3 linked regions of the Saccharomyces cerevisiae S288C genome follow. The main gene of each other region encodes a partner of the protein of the gene in region 3 in a complex. Each region holds a gene or a part of one and is shown on either strand. Other genes may lie near its edges. A codon is read from its position in the direction of its gene.

Region 1 (5,030 bases), on a different chromosome or scaffold from region 3:
TTTTTATATTCATTATAATATAAATATATAAATATATATAAATATTTTAATAATTATAATTATATTAAGATATTATAAATATATATTTATTTTTTTTTATAAAATAAATAAATAAATAAATAATTAATATTTTTATATTATAACTTATTTTTATAATAATAATAAGTATTTTATTTTTTATTATATTATTATTTATATAATTATATATATATTAATTTCAATTTAATTAATTAATTAATTGGTATTTGGCATATAATATCAATTAATTGTAATTCTTATAAGAATTAATTAATTAATATGCTTTTTATATAATTTATACTTTTATATTTCTCCTTCCGGGGTTCCGGCTCCCGTGGCCGGGCCCCGGAACTATTATTATTATTTTTATTTATTTATTATTAAAATATAATAATAAATAGTCCGGCCCGCCCCGCGGGGCGGACGCCGGAGGAGAATTATATTTTTATATAATAATTTATATTTCTATATATATATATATATATTATATATAAATATTATTATATATATTTTTATATATATTATAATTATATTCATTAATATTTTATTATAGTGGTGGGGTCCCAATTATTATTTTCAATAATAATTTATCATGGGACCCGGATATCTTCTTGTTTTTATTTATTATTTTATTAAATTTATTTTAATTATTTATTTATAATTTATATTATACAATTTATTATTTCGTTAATACCTTTATTTATATTATATAATATATTATATTATTATAATATATTTATTGATTATATTAATACATTTAACTAATGTGTGCTCTATATTTATTGAATAGTTTGGTTCTTATCACCCACCCCCTCCCCCTATTACGTCTCCGAGGTCCCGGTTTCGTAAGAAACCGGGACTTATATATTTAATACTAAAAATATAACTACATTACTTTTTTAATATATATAACAATATATATATATATATATATTAATTATATAAAATATAATACTCTATATTAAATATTATTTTTATCAATATTTATTTATATATATAATAATAATAATAATAATCAATATTAATTATTTATATATATAAGATTAATATTATTTAATATATTATGAATAATTTAATTAATAAATCTTTAAATATTATCATAAAAATATAAATTAAATAATTTCTTATTTATAATAAAGAATAATAATATATATAAATATAATAAAGAATGTAAATAATATATATATAATATAATATAATATAAAAAATATATATATATATAAATATATATATAATATATAGATAATAATATTTTTATATAATTTATTTTATTATTAAGTAATAAATAATAAAAAAATCAATATATTAAATAATATATTTATATTAGTTCGGTTTAGTTGGTATTTTGTAATGAGTAAAAAGTAATATATAATATTAAATAATAAGTATTGATATAAGTAATAGATATAATAATAATATTATTAATATTTTATATAAATAATATTAATAATATAGATTATGAAAGAGAGTATTAATATCATTAAATATATATATATGTTATATAATTTAAATGATTTTAATATATATATATATATTATATTATAGATTATGATACATTTATATAAATAATATATATATAAAAATTAATTATACTATTACTTTATAATATAATAATATTTATTTATAAAGATATAAAAGAATTGTTTAAAGTTATAACTAAAATATTATATAGTATTCATTAATAATTAATATTATAAATTCAACTATTGTTATATTTATAAATAGAATAATATATTATTATCCTTTAAGATATAACAATAATTATTTAAATTAAATTAAATTAAATTTAATTAATTTTTTTTTTTAATGAATATAATAATAATAATATTATTAAAATTAATATATAAAAAAAAAGTAAAAATGGTACAAAGATGATTATATTCAACAAATGCAAAAGATATTGCAGTATTATATTTTATGTTAGCTATTTTTAGTGGTATGGCAGGAACAGCAATGTCTTTAATCATTAGATTAGAATTAGCTGCACCTGGTTCACAATATTTACATGGTAATTCACAATTATTTAATGGTGCGCCTCTCAGTGCGTATATTTCGTTGATGCGTCTAGCATTAGTATTATGAATCATCAATAGATACTTAAAACATATGACTAACTCAGTAGGGGCTAACTTTACGGGGACAATAGCATGTCATAAAACACCTATGATTAGTGTAGGTGGAGTTAAGTGTTACATGGTTAGGTTAACGAACTTCTTACAAGTCTTTATCAGGATTACAATTTCCTCTTATCATTTGGATATAGTAAAACAAGTTTGATTATTTTACGTTGAGGTAATCAGATTATGATTCATTGTTTTAGATAGCACAGGCAGTGTGAAAAAGATGAAGGACCTAAATAACACAAAAGGAAATACGAAAAGTGAGGGATCAACTGAAAGAGGAAACTCTGGAGTTGACAGAGGTATAGTAGTACCGAATACTCAAATAAAAATGAGATTTTTAAATCAAGTTAGATACTATTCAGTAAATAATAATTTAAAAATAGGGAAGGATACCAATATTGAGTTATCAAAAGATACAAGTACTTCGGACTTGTTAGAATTTGAGAAATTAGTAATAGATAATATAAATGAGGAAAATATAAATAATAATTTATTAAGTATTATAAAAAACGTAGATATATTAATATTAGCATATAATAGAATTAAGAGTAAACCTGGTAATATAACTCCAGGTACAACATTAGAAACATTAGATGGTATAAATATAATATATTTAAATAAATTATCAAATGAATTAGGAACAGGTAAATTCAAATTTAAACCCATGAGAATAGTTAATATTCCTAAACCTAAAGGTGGTATAAGACCTTTAAGTGTAGGTAATCCAAGAGATAAAATTGTACAAGAAGTTATAAGAATAATTTTAGATACAATTTTTGATAAAAAGATATCAACACATTCACATGGTTTTAGAAAGAATATAAGTTGTCAAACAGCAATTTGAGAAGTTAGAAATATATTTGGTGGAAGTAATTGATTTATTGAAGTAGACTTAAAAAAATGTTTTGATACAATTTCTCATGATTTAATTATTAAAGAATTAAAAAGATATATTTCAGATAAAGGTTTTATTGATTTAGTATATAAATTATTAAGAGCTGGTTATATTGATGAGAAAGGAACTTATCATAAACCTATATTAGGTTTACCTCAAGGATCATTAATTAGTCCTATCTTATGTAATATTGTAATAACATTGGTAGATAATTGATTAGAAGATTATATTAATTTATATAATAAAGGTAAAGTTAAAAAACAACATCCTACATATAAAAAATTATCAAGAATAATTGCAAAAGCTAAAATATTTTCGACAAGATTAAAATTACATAAAGAAAGAGCTAAAGGCCCACTATTTATTTATAATGATCCTAATTTCAAGAGAATAAAATACGTTAGATATGCAGATGATATTTTAATTGGGGTATTAGGTTCAAAAAATGATTGTAAAATAATCAAAAGAGATTTAAACAATTTTTTAAATTCATTAGGTTTAACTATAAATGAAGAAAAAACTTTAATTACTTGTGCAACTGAACTACCAGCAAGATTTTTAGGTTATAATATTTCAATTACACCTTTAAAAAGAATACCTACAGTTACTAAACTAATTAGAGGTAAACTTATTAGAAGTAGAAATACAACTAGACCTATTATTAATGCACCAATTAGAGATATTATCAATAAATTAGCTACTAATGGATATTGTAAGCATAATAAAAATGGTAGAATAGGAGTGCCTACAAGAGTAGGTAGATGACTATATGAAGAACCTAGAACAATTATTAATAATTATAAAGCGTTAGGTAGAGGTATCTTAAATTATTATAAATTAGCTACTAATTATAAAAGATTAAGAGAAAGAATCTATTACGTATTATATTATTCATGTGTATTAACTTTAGCTAGTAAATATAGATTAAAAACAATAAGTAAAACTATTAAAAAATTTGGTTATAATTTAAATATTATTGAAAATGATAAATTAATTGCCAATTTTCCAAGAAATACTTTTGATAATATCAAAAAAATTGAAAATCATGGTATATTTATATATATATCAGAAGCTAAAGTAACTGATCCTTTTGAATATATCGATTCAATTAAATATATATTACCTACAGCTAAAGCTAATTTTAATAAACCTTGTAGTATTTGTAATTCAACTATTGATGTAGAAATACATCATGTTAAACAATTACATAGAGGTATATTAAAAGCACTTAAAGATTATATTCTAGGTAGAATAATTACCATAAACAGAAAACAAATTCCATTATGTAAACAATGTCATATTAAAACACATAAAAATAAATTTAAAAATATAGGACCTGGTATATAAAATCTATTATTAATGATACTCAATATGGAAAGCCGTATGATGGGAAACTATCACGTACGGTTTGGGAAAGGCTCTTTAACACGTGGCAACATAGGTTAATTTGCTATTTCATTTTTAGTAGTTGGTCATGCTGTATTAATGATTTTCTGTGCGCCGTTTCGCTTAATTTATCACTGTATTGAAGTGTTAATTGATAAACATATCTCTGTTTATTCAATTAATGAAAACTTTACCGTATCATTTTGGTTCTGATTATTAGTAGTAACATACATAGTATTTAGATACGTAAACCATATGGCTTACCCAGTTGGGGCCAACTCAACGGGGACAATAGCATGCCATAAAAGCGCTGGAGTAAAACAGCCAGCGCAAGGTAAGAACTGTCCGATGGCTAGGTTAACGAATTCCTGTAAAGAATGTTTAGGGTTCTCATTAACTCCTTCCCACTTGGGGATTGTGATTCATGCTTATGTATTGGAAGAAGAGGTACACGAGTTAACCAAAAATGAATCATTAGCTTTAAGTAAAAGTTGACATTTGGAGGGCTGTACGAGTTCAAATGGAAAATTAAGAAATACGGGATTGTCCGAAAGGGGAAACCCTGGGGATAACGGAGTCTTCATAGTACCCAAATTTAATTTAAATAA
Region 2 (3,357 bases), on a different chromosome or scaffold from region 3:
AATTATTAATTATAGCTATTTTTCATTTATAATAACTATAATATTTAATTGTTAAACAAGGATACTTATCAAAAATAGTTACAATATTAGAATATAACCATTTCTTTTGTGAATTTACTAATATAATTGTTTTAAGTAGTTCTTCAAAATTAGAAGGTATATTTAATATATTTCTAATCTTTTCTAAACATGCTTTATCATCAATATGTATTCTAAAACCATAAAAAAATCTTAAATATTTTTTATCATTTAATTTAATATAAAAACTACCATCTCCATCTGTAAATCCTACTAATCATTTATAAAAATTATCTATTTCTAAATTATTCTTATTATTATTTTTATTATCTTTTTGAACAATAATTAATTTATTATTTAAAGAAGTATGATAACCTCTTTTAATAATATTTATATTTTTAATATAAGGTGATTGAATAGAATATAAATCTATATCTTTATTATATTTAAGAATATTATTATAATTATTATTATTATTATTATTTTTAATAATTAAAAATATTAATAATAAGTAAATATTAATTATTGTTCATTTAATCATTCCAAAAATTTAGGTAATGATACTGCTTCGATCTTAATTGGCATATTTGCATGACCTGTCCCACACAACTCAGAACATGCTCCATAGAAGACACCTTCTCTTTGAATTAAAGCAGAAACTTGATTTAATCTACCAGGAGTAGCATCAACTTTAATACCTAAACTTGGAATAGCAAAATCATGAATAACATCAGCAGCTGTTACAACGAATCTAATATGTGTATCTACAGGTACAACTATAGAAGTATCAGTATCTAATAATCTTAATTGACCTTCTTCTAATAATTCATCAGGAATAACATATGATTCAAATTCAACAGTTTCACCACTATCATTAATAAAATCTGAATATTCATATTTTCAATATCATTGATATCCAATAGCTTTAATAGTTATAGCTGGTGAAATAACTTCATCACATAAATATAATAAAATAAATGAAGGAAAAGCAATAATTAATAAAATTACAGCTGGAAAAATTGTTCAAATAACTTCAATAGTTTGTCCATGTTTAATATATTTATATGCAATAGGATTTTTTGAATATGTTATAACAATTGTATATAACATTCAAGATACTAAACCTAAAATAACTAATAAATAAAACATAATATTATCATGTAATTCTAAAATACCTTCTTGATTTGGTGTTGCTGAATCCTGAAAATAACATGCATAAGGTGTTGGTACATCATTCATAATGAATGTTGTTAATTGTAATCTTAATAAATCTAACATTTTAATAAATCTTAACCTTTAGACTCTTTTGTCTATTTATAATATGTTAATACTACTTTTAATTAAAATTTATTTATAATTTATTATTATATATTATAAATTAAAATAAAAAATATTATATTATATTATCAACCCCACCTTTTTTTATTAAAAATAATTAAAATTATATATTATTTTTATAAATAATATATATAATATTATTAATCATATAAATATATATTTTATTAAAAAAAAAAAAATACTAAAACTCCTTCGGTCCTCCTCCCGTTAGGGAGGGGTCCCTCACTCCTTACGGGATTCCCGCTTCCCAAAAACTAATAATATTCATATCATATATATTAATATTTATTAAAATATATAATATTTAGATTATATATAATATATATAATTTTTATTATTATAATATATTAGTGATTACCTTATTTATAAAGGTATGAAGCAAGGAGTTATTATTTATTATTATTATTATTATTATTATTATTAATATAATATATATATAATATATTATTAATTTTTATTTATACTCCTTCGGGGTCCCCGCCGGGGCGGGGACTTATATTTATATTATTAATATAATATATATTTAAAAATAAAATAGTCCGCCCCGCGGAGGGGGGCGGGACCCCGAAGGAGTCCGCCCCCCTTTTTATTTTATTTTATTTAATTTTAAAGAAGAAGAATTATTTATATTTATTTATTTATTTATCTCCTTCGGGGTTCCGGCTCCCGTGGCCGGCCCCCGGAACTGTAATAATATATTAATTTAATTAATATTTTTTATAGATAAATATACATTATATGTTTTTATTAATTAATTATTTATTTATTTATTTATAATATATATTTAAATATTATATTATATATATATATTTAAAAGATAAATTATATTTATAATTATTTAATGAACATCTATTTAATAATAATAAAATAGTCCGGCCCGCCCCCGCGGGGCGGACCCCGAAGGAGTCCGGCCGAAGGAGATGTGAATCCTGCTAGGAGGAGTAATTATTTATTAATATTATTTTAATATATATAAATATTATAATCATTATTACTTGTAGAAGGAATTGAACCTTACATTATTTATTTATGAGACAAATGTTTTAACCAATTAAACTATACAAGCTCCTTAATTATAATTATTATTATAATTAATACAATATTTACTCTTTATTATCAATATTTATACCTTATTTTATAAATATAAATAAAAGATATTAATTATTAAAATATTAATAAATATATTCTTTAATAATTTATAATTATAATATAATAATTATAATAATAATAATTTTTAATAAAAAATAAAATAATTATAAAATTATAATCTTATTATATAAAATATATAATATATTTATAATTATTAATAAAAAAGATAATTATATAATTAAAATTAATATATATATATATATATATATAAAGGTATTATTAATTAATTAAAAATATTAATATATTTGTTAATTAAATAAATAAATAAATATAAATATTATCTAATTATAAATTTATTCTTAGTAATTAATATATATATAATATTATATAATATAATATATATAATATAGGTGTTAGTTTAATAATATTCTTTATTATATATAAATATAAATAAGATATCTTATACTATATATTATAATAAATTATAAATAATTAAACATAATAAATATAATTTATATATACATATTTATTTTTTATTAATTTATAACATATTAATAAAAATAATAAATATATAATTTCTTTAGAATACTTTTTATTCTCCTTCCGGAATTAATAAAATAAAATAATATAATATAATATAAAATATAGATACTTATTTAATTTATTAATTAATATATATATAAATATATTATTATATATAATATAAATAAATATATAATATAATATAATATTAATAATTATTATTATATACCTTTTTATAAATAATTTAAATATTTATAAAAATATTTTAATAATATTTATAATATAAAATTTATCATTTTATAAAAATTATATATATATATATAATATATAAAATAGTTTCTTCTTACATAAAATATAATAAAAATTATAAAATATATTAAATTATTAATA
Region 3 (2,642 bases):
AAATCTTCTAAATCGTTTGCCATTGGCGCTATTGTCATACCTCCAGCTCTTTTCTTCTTTTTTGTTACACATTTTTATCTTCCATATCTATTCTAGTTGATTTTTTTTTTTTCATAGTATTCAACCAAATGGAGAAGTTTTTAAGAAATACGTCTTTGAAAGGGAGGCATAGAATAACAAGGTAAACCCATTTATACAGGATTCCCTCATACTATATTAGCTTATTTCATTCCAGGGGGGTTCCCTTAAATATAAGAATAATAAGAATAATGATATAAAATTATATGTCTAACAAAAAATTACAAAATTTGAGTAAATAAATAAAGAAAAAATGTGAGAGTGGCAATCAGCCAATTTTATGTTTGATATGTTGGCATTGTATTGGGCGGATGCCCATGGATACACTTATAATGTAATAAGATATTCACTTTCGTACAGGTCACAGACTAGCTGAAAAAACCATGACAATCGTTAACCCCTATTGATTTCCTTTCAAAATTTCTGGCCTGTTCATTTAGATTGGACCTGAGAATAACCACCCCAAGGATTAGCATTCTTCGACTTCAAATATTCGTCACTCTTTAGCTGCCACTCCTTATTCATGGTCTTTGCGTCTTGGCCACCCGCCATCCTGACGACAGCAAAAAGTCCCACTGAAAATAGTAGGCCTGCAGCAACACCTTTGGCAATAAAACTGGAATCACCCTTATTCAATACAGGTCTTCTTGGGCCCCATTCTCCGTAAGAAATGTACCACACAGCTTGCTTTTCAGGCTCAGTAAGCTGTGCCCATGGTAATTTTTGACGTTCACTCAACTTACTGACAATATCCTGCTGCTCAGTGGAGGGCATGTTCTCCCATCTGGATTGCAGATCCATTACAGCAGCGTTGGAAAGAGCATGTGTTTGAGCGAATCTTACGGATGTAATACGTGATAGTCCACCAGCTCTAGTAAAAGTGTTACGTAACATTGTAGATGCGTTCTTAGTTGATCTTGTGTTTGGTGCATTGCTTGCAAACAGAAGACAAAATACGAGGACTGATGGTTCTTATTTAATTGATTGTTCTTTTTAACTTTTCGCCGCCGCTTGTATCGGCGCAAAACGTAGGGCCAATCACAAACGAGGAAAACGTCTATTGGACGATTTTTGCAATGTGACACTTACAATGATGAATAATTACTATGTAGGCAGAAGTGCTAAGTACATTCTATTTAGAAGCGTAGGGAGGCGGTCTGCCTGCAGATCTGATAGTCATAAAGATTCTTTTGGGAGATGCTGTCCCTTAAGGAAGAAACATCATCTGTTCCGGGGCAGTAGATATTGATTCGTTGTCCACAGAAGCTTCCAGTGAATCTGCGGGTTGAGACAAACTTTTACAGTGCTCATCATCTTCCCCGCGTTCTGTGGCCAGTGCGGTCCTTGCTCCAGTCAACGTAGCAGGAGTTCTTGGCGTTACTTCCGAAGAATTGACAGAACTGTCATTCGGCGACGATGATAGATTCGTTACCATGGGAAAACTTCTAAAGGACGCAGAAGAGTAGGACTTCGTAGTCGAGGAAACTTCGTTGTTTCCGATGTCATCTTCCTCAGGCATGTGAACAGTCTCTCCTTCTTCGCCCGGTGAGTTCTTGGACAACATGGTTCCCCATTCCATAAGTTGGAAGATGAGACCCATGTTTGGACTTATATCCTTAGCAACACCTTTCAGCTTATTGTATGCATCATTTAAACTCAAGCCATAATATCGCATGATATACGCCACAATCAATGACGCCGATCTTGATACTCCACACTGACAGTGTACGAGTATTTTCTTGCCTTGCGAATGAGCGGTATGTATAATGCGTGTCAATCGGGATAAGTCCTTGACGATCTTGGATGTGTGTGTCCATTCAATATGGTAATATTTTATTTTATGTGCCATTTCCGGCGGTATTAAAAACTCCAGGTTCGGTATTTCTTTGGCAACATTAATGACTAAATCAAACGATAATATATCTTCTAGTTTGGGTTCTGAATATAGATACAAATTAGGCGGCAGTACCAGCAATGGTCCATCTAAATAAACCGTTCGTTGATAAATCTCTGCATGCACCATATCAATATTCAGATCCGAGTCCTCCTCCGGGAAAATCAATGTTGTTTGCATATTCTTTTGGTTAGAAAATCTGTTGACATCCGTACTATCTAAAGTACCTTCACGAGTACTAGAAATTGGCGTGGATGTCTCTAACCCTGAGATCGTTTGAGAACGTCCTCTAATTCCCTTCAACTTCAAGTCTTTAGTTTTCACGGATAATGAATGGACTCTATTCAGATGAGGTTTTTCTGAAAATGACGATAACGGTGATGATGATGACAGCTTACTGATAGACGATACTGTGGATGATTTTGTATACACGCTTGGAGAAACAGTTCGGTTCTTCAAAGATGTTGGTAGTGTGTATATAGAGGCCTCGCTTCGCCTCATCGACAGCGATGGTGGCGTTGGCCTTGGACTTACTTTTGGTGGACATTTCTCCAACACAATAGGTTTGGGCTTCATAAATAGATTCAAAGGTGTCGGCGATGGGAATTTTACTGAACCTGGCACATCTTGGCTTGGCGATGAGAATTCCATTAATGGATGGAGTGCTGCT

What was found.
Region 1: the proteins of COX5A (region 3) and COX1 are in contact, whole or in part, in a cryo-EM structure (PDB 8DH6), measured with the Saccharomyces cerevisiae proteins. Residues at the interface, in NP_014346.1 of Saccharomyces cerevisiae: Ile75 (codon at 750), Ser76 (codon at 747), Tyr77 (codon at 744), Gly78 (codon at 741), Trp80 (codon at 735), Gly81 (codon at 732), Pro82 (codon at 729), Arg83 (codon at 726), Arg84 (codon at 723), Val86 (codon at 717), Leu87 (codon at 714), Asn88 (codon at 711), Asp91 (codon at 702), Phe94 (codon at 693), Ile95 (codon at 690), Gly98 (codon at 681), Val99 (codon at 678), Gly102 (codon at 669), Leu103 (codon at 666), Phe105 (codon at 660), Ser106 (codon at 657), Val107 (codon at 654), Leu109 (codon at 648), Phe110 (codon at 645), Val113 (codon at 636), Arg114 (codon at 633), Ala116 (codon at 627), Gly117 (codon at 624), Gly118 (codon at 621), Gln119 (codon at 618); in NP_009305.1 of Saccharomyces cerevisiae: Leu38 (codon at 1,990), Ala41 (codon at 1,999), Ala42 (codon at 2,002), Pro43 (codon at 2,005), Gln46 (codon at 2,014), Tyr47 (codon at 2,017), Arg333, Leu334, Ala335, Glu407, Lys408, Gln411, Ile412, Trp415, Leu416, Ile419, Asp445, Ala446, Ala448, Gly449, Tyr452, Ser455, Ile456, Phe459, Ile460, Leu463, Asn486, Ser488, Val489, Ile490.
Region 2: the proteins of COX5A (region 3) and COX2 are in contact, whole or in part, in a cryo-EM structure (PDB 8DH6), measured with the Saccharomyces cerevisiae proteins. Residues at the interface, in NP_014346.1 of Saccharomyces cerevisiae: Ala121 (codon at 612), Lys122 (codon at 609), Thr123 (codon at 606), Glu127 (codon at 594), Trp128 (codon at 591), Lys131 (codon at 582), Ser132 (codon at 579), Tyr135 (codon at 570), Leu136 (codon at 567), Lys139 (codon at 558), Asn140 (codon at 555), Ala141 (codon at 552), Asn142 (codon at 549), Pro143 (codon at 546), Trp144 (codon at 543), Gly145 (codon at 540), Gly146 (codon at 537), Tyr147 (codon at 534), Ser148 (codon at 531), Gln149 (codon at 528), Val150 (codon at 525), Gln151 (codon at 522); in NP_009326.1 of Saccharomyces cerevisiae: Asp16 (codon at 1,251), Val17 (codon at 1,248), Pro18 (codon at 1,245), Thr19 (codon at 1,242), Pro20 (codon at 1,239), Asp27 (codon at 1,218), Ser28 (codon at 1,215), Asp150 (codon at 849), Leu153 (codon at 840), Glu154 (codon at 837), Glu155 (codon at 834), Gly156 (codon at 831), Gln157 (codon at 828), Leu158 (codon at 825), Arg159 (codon at 822), Arg213 (codon at 660), Glu214 (codon at 657), Gly215 (codon at 654), Val216 (codon at 651), Tyr218 (codon at 645), Lys235 (codon at 594), Glu237 (codon at 588).

The regions. Positions count from the first base shown.
Region 1 is NC_001224.1:11,940-16,969, forward strand, and holds the start of COX1 (cytochrome c oxidase subunit 1), read left to right. Parts: upstream 1-1,878; coding exon 1,879-2,047; coding exon of another isoform or gene 2,048-4,383; intron 4,384-4,495; coding exon 4,496-4,531; coding exon of another isoform or gene 4,532-5,030. Other genes in the region: intron-encoded reverse transcriptase aI2, read left to right, coding at 1,879-2,047, 4,496-5,030; AI5_ALPHA (intron-encoded DNA endonuclease aI5 alpha), read left to right, coding at 1,879-2,047, 4,496-4,531; intron-encoded DNA endonuclease aI4, read left to right, coding at 1,879-2,047, 4,496-4,531; intron-encoded DNA endonuclease aI3, read left to right, coding at 1,879-2,047, 4,496-4,531; intron-encoded reverse transcriptase aI1, read left to right, coding at 1,879-4,383. UniProt on the Saccharomyces cerevisiae protein: Component of the cytochrome c oxidase, the last enzyme in the mitochondrial electron transport chain which drives oxidative phosphorylation.
Region 2 is NC_001224.1:71,697-75,053, reverse strand, and holds COX2 (cytochrome c oxidase subunit 2), read right to left. Parts: upstream 1,297-3,357; coding exon 541-1,296; downstream 1-540. Other genes in the region: Q0255 (maturase-like protein), read right to left, coding at 1-559. UniProt on the Saccharomyces cerevisiae protein: Component of the cytochrome c oxidase, the last enzyme in the mitochondrial electron transport chain which drives oxidative phosphorylation.
Region 3 is NC_001146.8:530,055-532,696, reverse strand, and holds COX5A (cytochrome c oxidase subunit Va), read right to left. Parts: upstream 973-2,642; coding exon 511-972; downstream 1-510. Other genes in the region: Golgi transport complex subunit COG5, read right to left, coding at 1-38; tyrosine/serine/threonine protein phosphatase MSG5, read right to left, coding at 1,286-2,642. UniProt on the Saccharomyces cerevisiae protein: Component of the cytochrome c oxidase, the last enzyme in the mitochondrial electron transport chain which drives oxidative phosphorylation.